2 linked regions of the Oryza sativa Japonica Group genome follow. The protein of the gene in region 1 interacts with the protein of each later gene in a pairwise test. Links are inferred from orthologs where the notes say so. Each region holds a gene or a part of one and is shown on either strand. Other genes may lie near its edges.

Region 1 (4,418 bases):
ACTGGAGGTACCCGTTCTTCTTGGAAGTGGATTTTGATCCTCGAGGAGATATCCCCTCATTGTTTACATGTTACTTAAATGGTTATGAAAAAATTAAAAAAAAATAAGAAGATGTATTAACATGTGATATATCACTCCATAAACATGCAAGTAAAAAATTCAACTTCTACATCTCGTAACGAAAAAAACAAAATTGACTCTAAATATACGTTAACTAACTGCGGTTCAATTTGTTTTTTCATACGAGATGTAGAAGTTGAATTTGAACTTGCATGTTTGTGGAGTGTTATATCACATGTTAATACACATTCTCTATTTTTTTTAAATTTTTTCTTAACCATTTAAGTGACATGCAAAGAATGATTTCCCGTTCTTCTAACTCGTTGTTCGTCATTTGTTCCAAGTTTAGGTTTGTGTTCATAGATACATTTAAATTTGAATCTTCACAGTTTATACAAAATTAGGAGAAACAATGGGAAAAAAAAGAAAAAGAAGTTACAATAATACTCCTATACGACAAGAACCTGTCGATTTTGTTTATCAATGGCTGCAGGCAATTTGACCGCAGCAGACATCGTGAGTGCGACTGCCTTCGTCATAGTGATGATCTTCCTGGTCAATTTATTAGTTTGTTTGATGACAGACGCCTTGAATAATTACTGGATTCGTTCTGCCAAGGAAGAAGAAGCATCACCACCAGCTGGCAAGTTCTCTCTCCTGTTTACTATTATTTTTCCTGTTTAGTCTAGTAACAAATTAACTAATTGCTGGTTGATTGTTTTGATCGTAAAATATGTGTTGCAAATTGACAATGCAGGTCATGTACGAGGAAATGTTGCTGCTGTGAAGGCAGCGCAGATCGTGCCAACTCAGTACGCAGATCAGAGGATTGCTGTCTGAGTTCTATACGCCGGCTAGTGTAGAAGCTTGGCCACTGCATTGGCCATTAATTTCCTGGGTGTTATATATGTGTCATGTGAACCCACTCTACCTAAGTATTTACAGCTAGATATATAGCTTGATCTGGCTAAATTGGCTCAGTGGCCAATTAATTAAGTGTGTACTCTTTATTGTCTCGTCCGAACACAACTACTTGTATGTCCAGTTGAAAACAGTACGTGGCCATCGTGCCTTGCACCAAGGTATATATTGTTGGGTATTTGGTTTTCTCTCCACGCTTGTATATATTGGAGTTATATCACAAGCTAGTGTGTATCTCACCTTGCAAATTTGATGTTATCTGAAGCCACAGAATTTGAAATAACAACAATGCAACTATATGAGGCATTTCATAAGAAAAAGCTGCTCTTATTAAAATTTATTCATTCCCCATAGAATAATCCACAAATATTACATATATACAGCTGTGCTTTTGATATGTTTTCTGTGAGATATGTATTTGCCAATTATCCCCATATCTCTTTGAGCGTGTGCCATGACGCACATTCGCATGTGCGTGAGCGTGGCACTAATGTGTAGCTGTATGTATATCCGTGTCTTCCGTGTAATTGAGAAAAAAAATAAATCAACTTATTTTTAAAAGGGTCAACACACCATCCCCATATCCATGTTTTTGAAAATCTTTGGTGGACTTTCTTAATGTTTTTTCACAGCGATTTAAGTTTGTAAAATTGTGCCATGTCTTCCCTAAAAAAAAAATCCCTCAAAAAAAATTGTGCCATGTCAATGAAACGCTGACCGAGTCATCAGATATGGCTTATGTGCCTCATTGCTTGCCAAAGATTTATTATAAACTGTATGATAACAAAATAATTTGTGTATAAAAATTTTATATATGGGTTCTTAGCAACTTAAAAATCCATATAAAATAAAGTACGTTAAAAATATCTTAAAATTAACTTTAAAATAATGTTTGAAAATTCAAAATTTAGCTTCTAACACTTTTTAGGTGTACCGATGGGCTCAGAAGTTTCGGCTCACCTCACCACTTCACCAACCTATCTGGCCCGCTCACTACCGGCACAATCCTTCTCTTCCGGACTCTCCCCAACCACGCCGCAGCAACACGCGCCCAGACTCTAGTCGAGTTCAGCACTTCAGCCCCGCCGCCGTCTCCGCCGCTCAAAGCGCCCAAACCAAAATCCCCTAGATTTCCCCACGCCCCCGCCTCCAAATCTCTCGACATGTCGGAGAAGAAGCGCCGCGGCGGGGCAGGCGCGGGGGCCGCGTCGGGCTCCGCCTCCAAGAAGCCGCGGGTCTCCACGGCGGCGTCGTACGCCGAGTCGCTCCGCTCGAAGCTCCGCCCCGACGCCTCCATCCTCGCCACCCTCCGCTCCCTGGCCTCCGCCTGCTCCAAATCCAAGCCCGCGGGGTCGTCGTCGTCGTCGTCGTCCGCCTCGAAGGCGCTCGCAGCCGAGGACGACCCGGCCGCCAGCTACATCGTGGTGGCCGACCAGGACTCCGCCTCCGTCACCTCCCGCATCAACCGCCTCGTGCTCGCCGCGGCGCGCAGCATCCTGTCCGGCCGGGGCTTCTCCTTCGCGGTGCCCTCCCGCGCCGCCTCCAACCAGGTCTACCTCCCGGACCTCGACCGCATCGTGCTCGTCCGCCGCGAGTCCGCCAGGCCCTTCGCCAACGTCGCCACCGCGCGGAAGGCCACCATCACCGCGCGCGTCCTCTCCTTGGTCCACGCCGTCCTCCGCAGGGGGATCCACGTCACCAAGCGTGACCTCTTCTACACCGACGTCAAGCTCTTCGGCGACCAGGCGCAGTCCGACGCCGTCCTCGACGACGTCTCCTGTATGCTCGGCTGCACCCGCTCCTCCCTCCACGTCGTCGCGTCCGAGAAGGGCGTCGTCGTCGGGCGCCTCACCTTCGCCGACGACGGCGACCGGATCGACTGCACGCGCATGGGCGTCGGCGGGAAGGCCATCCCGCCCAACATCGACAGGGTCTCAGGCATCGAGAGCGACGCTCTCTTCATCTTGCTGGTGGAGAAGGACGCCGCGTTCATGCGTCTCGCCGAGGACCGGTTCTACAACCGCTTCCCGTGCATCATCTTGACGGCGAAGGGGCAGCCGGATGTCGCCACACGGCTGTTCTTGCGGCGGCTTAAGGTGGAGCTGAAGCTGCCGGTGCTGGCATTGGTGGACTCCGACCCATATGGGCTGAAGATCTTGTCAGTGTACATGTGTGGTTCCAAGAACATGTCATATGACAGTGCCAACCTGACAACACCGGATATCAAGTGGCTCGGAGTGCGGCCAAGCGATCTGGACAAGTATCGGGTGCCGGAGCAGTGCCGGCTTCCGATGACTGATCACGATATCAAGGTGGGGAAGGAGCTGCTTGAGGAGGACTTTGTGAAGCAGAATGAAGGATGGGTGAAGGAGCTGGAGACGATGTTGCGGACGAGGCAGAAGGCTGAGATACAGGCTCTCAGTTCATTTGGTTTCCAGTATCTCACTGAGGTCTATCTACCTCTCAAGCTGCAGCAACAGGACTGGATTTGAGGACCCTTTCTATGCTAGATGAATAGGTGAATTTTCATGCATTTATTTGACTACTGCGCTGTGCACTAGATTTATTTATTTAAAATAAGGTATTTTTGAGAATCAGTATTCCCATGGGCCATGGCTAGTCGAAGTCAAAAGGTAGCTCCAAAATGTTCAGTCAAAATGCATGGTTAACTAATTTCTATGTTAGATTAGGTTCTTTATGTTAGGTTCTTTAGGAAGTATTGCACACCCCTGACTGAGAGTTTGTAGGATCAAATTGATAAGGGTGACCAAGATTGCCTCGTAGTACCGTCAGATGTGGAAATCTTCTTCTAGCATTATGTATTTGAACAGCAGCTGCTGTGTGTATTCACTAATTTTTAAGAACATGGAAATGCTTACTTCAGCATGTATTCAGAGCAGGTATAGTGACAGGAAATTCAAATGTTACTGTGATATTACTCATGTATCCTGAGCATGTATTCAAAACAATGTATTCCAGCATTTATGTGCCAACTCCATGTTTGGATCAATGTAGAATTGGAGCTGTTCACATGTGTAACTGAGCACATCATGGCATGTTTTTAAGAGGCACAACAATACAGCCATGGGCATCTTGGACATTTGTTTTGCAATCAGGTTTCAAATCTTGAGCGAACAAACTTGTTACAAATCTATATTAGGCAATGGTGCTCAAAATCCACAGACAGTGGAGTATTTCACTGTACTCGGTCAGCATGTTTTTCAGTTTCCATGGAATTGCGGGGATTGCAAGTTTCCAGCAATAACCTAATAACTTTAATTCTGATGTTTTACCGTATCTGGATGGCCGTCCACAAATTCCTTCTTGTGAAACCGTGTTGGGTTGATGTCACTGAGTAGCACCAGCCAACCTGTACATCTGTATACACTACCTTATCTTAGGATGACTCTGCAAAAGGTTGAGGAACTGTCACTGCA
Region 2 (3,100 bases), on another chromosome or scaffold:
AGACACCACCACTAACATCATTTAAAGTAGTATAGATATAGATATCTGGATTAGCCTCATTACCTGATTTTATTTTTATATTGAATCAAACTCCTAGAAGGGTCTGGTTTTTCATTAAATAATGACTCACTTTGGAATGAAAAAAATTATGGCATTATGAAGTTGCAGTGAGCAATTTTTTTTTTTTGGGGTGGGGGTGTGTGGGGGGGGGGTTTGGAAGGGATTACCAAATTCAATTGCCTTGAAAATATAAGAAGAATAGTCAATCTTGGCTATTATCTGAGATTTTGTTGGCTCAGATTAGATTTTTAAAGTTACCTGCATATCCAATATCCCCAGAGTTGTTCCATTTTACTGATTCAGTTAATGAATATTAGTCCACATGAGTAAACATGTTACTTTTTTTACTAATATCATGCACTAAGTCCCAATTATGAGGGATCGCATCTATGTCCTGCATTTTCCTTGCTGACAAGCATACCGACGATTGGAATTCTCATATCTGTTGTATTCAGGGTCTAAACATTTTTAGATATGCGAACCGAATCCCACTTCTCTTTGAACAAGGTGCTGATGTCATCACAAGAACTGCTTTAAAAAGAATCAAGTAAGATTTCTTTTGTATTCGCAGATTCACTTCAACTGTAGTTCTAGATGTTGGCTCACATTTATAACTCTTGCCTTTCCTTGTCTTCTAGTTGGAGCAGCTACAAAATAAATCAACAGCAGGACAAGATTGGTGTCTTTGTTAGCATTGTAAGTACAAAGATACCTTTTAAAGGAACTGGAAAAGAGTACATTGGGGATGACATAACCGAAATAGCATCTGCTGTTCAGGTAGATCCACACATACCATATTTATTCTCTGTGAGGTCATGTAATAATGATCCTTTTCCCCCTTCAGTCAGCCCTTAAGCAGTGTTGTCTTCAACTGAAGTCAAAGATAGTAAAGAAACTACAGGCTCGTGAACGGCAGGACAGGAAAAGGAACCTAAACAGGTGATTTCTCCACCCGTATATCTATGCTGAAATATTTGGCATATGGTAATGTCTATTATTATTATTAGCATGGGTTCAAACTGTTGTTATTTTGAATTTTTTTATGTTATTCTGAAATCTGAATCTGTAATTTTGCTTAAGGACATATCCGTGATGCTTGTTGAATGTTGGGTAAGGTTTTGGTGGCATCATTGATATCAGGTTCACAATGGATAGTATGGACAAATAATAGCTTCGCACAACCTTGGCAGTATTCATTTGTCAGGCTAGATTTTTTTGGCACGTGCATGTGCGTTTCTGCAGTGGCAGCACTCATGATTTATTCATAGATCTAGTTAGGGACAAATATTAATTCGGAGTGCTTTATCACATGACAGGAAGCACTTTGCAAGTACGTATATGATATATTTACGTGCTCTCTTTTCCATTTGCAGATACATTCCTGATGTTGCGAGGGCAATTATGGAGACTCTGGGAGAAATTGCAGATGAGTCTCCCCCAAAGAGGCCACGTTATGATAAGGAAGATGAGGAACTCCTTGAGAAAGTAAACTCTGAGGAGGTGACAGAGATGACCTTTAGGGATTGCTTAACACAACATGTTGAACAGGTAAGAAAAATGCTCAAATGCTTGCTCTGTTTTAATTTAGTGTCAGTAGCAACGCATGTCTTGTTCTGGTCAATAGCAAAGCATGACTAGAGTCTTTCACCTTTCTTTTACGAACTAGCAGCAGCATTTGCTCTAATAGACATCTGGTTCAAAATGACTATTATTTCTGAAATGCATTTTGGCATCTCAATGGTTAAAATCCTAGAACCCTGATGACATTTCAATGGTTAATTCTGTTTCAAATTGCTAACGGGGTTAGGCCATGAATCCTGATGGAAACTAGGTCCCAAATGTCCTGCTACTATCTACCGTTTTGAGTTTTTTTTACACTGATTTTTGATGGTTTTAACATGAAACAACAACCAGGTTGATTATGAAATGGCATTGGAGTACGCCATGCAGAGTGGAGTAAGCGAGGAACCTCGTGAAGCATTATATTTAAACTCCCTTGAAGGATCTTACAAGTTTATCGATTTCCAGAGCCCTGTTTTTGTGTTCAGATTTATTCCTTGAGAGTGCAACTTGCATGTCCATCTGTTGCTAGGTTGATTAATATTTACTTCCCATAATCCCATTGTACTGCGGATGTTTTATGAACCTTTTGCCGATTCAGCAGTCATGACCGCAAGTTTGTAACTTACACATTATAGATTTTTAGAGTAGTTTAGGTCCATGATATGTTTGTTGCATTCATGGAGATTTTTATTTTTCAATTTTTCTTTAACATATGGGAGTTCACTTCTACCCATTCAATTTTAGGAATAGGAAACATTAGAGAGTGTGTTTGCTGGTATGATTATAAGTTATACTACATAATTATGTGTTAAATTGATTTAGATCCAAGATATGCTTGCATACTGCGTTATTCGAGAACAGCCTTGTAAACAGACTATGGACGTCACGGACTGGAGGGTGGCTGTGAACGGCGATGTCCCCTTCGGCCGAGACCTGTGGTTCGAGCCAAGCGAGGAGTCGATATATCACCTTGAGGGAAGACACATATTTGTTATCGGATATTGTACTTGTTAAAATATATATTTTTCGTTGAATAAGAGAGAAATAGGGTGAGAGGTTAGAAATACCCCTAGCGGCCTAGCTTCATATATCAGTCCGCCATTTCTCTTCCCTCTCTCCGTATTACCTCCAATCCCCACCGCAGCGCCAGCCCCGCCTATCTTCCATCGTGGCCGTGGCGGCATGACCCCGACTTTCACTGCGCCCGGCCTTGCCGCGCAGTGTCGCACGCGATCATGCCGGCTTGGCCTTCCGCCCGATCCTGTCAGGGCATTCACAGTGCGTCACGAAAGTTTTTATGTTTCTCACATGCCACCTAGACCAAGAACAATACTAGCTACATGTTCCACGAAGTTTTGGTATTCCTCACATGCCACCTAGACCAAGAACAATACTAGCTAGATGTTCTATAATGCAAACTCCGCAAGACCACAATACAAGAAGCTTAGTGGGTCCCACCAATACCACTTTTCTCTTT

Evidence for each region.
Region 2: the proteins of SPO11-3 (region 1) and TOP6B interact in binary tests that used the Arabidopsis thaliana proteins (3 or more experiments, as listed by UniProt). The link is inferred for Oryza sativa Japonica Group from reciprocal best matches to the Arabidopsis thaliana genes RHL2 and TOP6B.

Annotation. Positions count from the first base shown.
Region 1 is NC_089037.1:9,845,884-9,850,301, forward strand, and holds SPO11-3 (topoisomerase 6 subunit A3), read left to right. Parts: upstream 1-1,813; 5' UTR 1,814-2,144; coding exon 2,145-3,473; 3' UTR 3,474-3,913; downstream 3,914-4,418. Other genes in the region: cysteine-rich receptor-like protein kinase 25, read left to right, coding at 1-7, 554-703, 818-900; pentatricopeptide repeat-containing protein At5g02830, chloroplastic, read right to left, coding at 4,411-4,418. UniProt on the Arabidopsis thaliana protein: Component of the DNA topoisomerase VI involved in chromatin organization and progression of endoreduplication cycles. Relaxes both positive and negative superturns and exhibits a strong decatenase activity. Involved in cell-elongation processes.
Region 2 is NC_089043.1:10,209,093-10,212,192, forward strand, and holds the end of TOP6B (DNA topoisomerase 6 subunit B), read left to right. Parts: intron 1-515; coding exon 516-607; intron 608-698; coding exon 699-837; intron 838-904; coding exon 905-999; intron 1,000-1,433; coding exon 1,434-1,608; intron 1,609-1,974; coding exon 1,975-2,121; 3' UTR 2,122-2,462; downstream 2,463-3,100. UniProt on the Arabidopsis thaliana protein: Component of the DNA topoisomerase VI involved in chromatin organization and progression of endoreduplication cycles. Relaxes both positive and negative superturns and exhibits a strong decatenase activity. The B subunit binds ATP.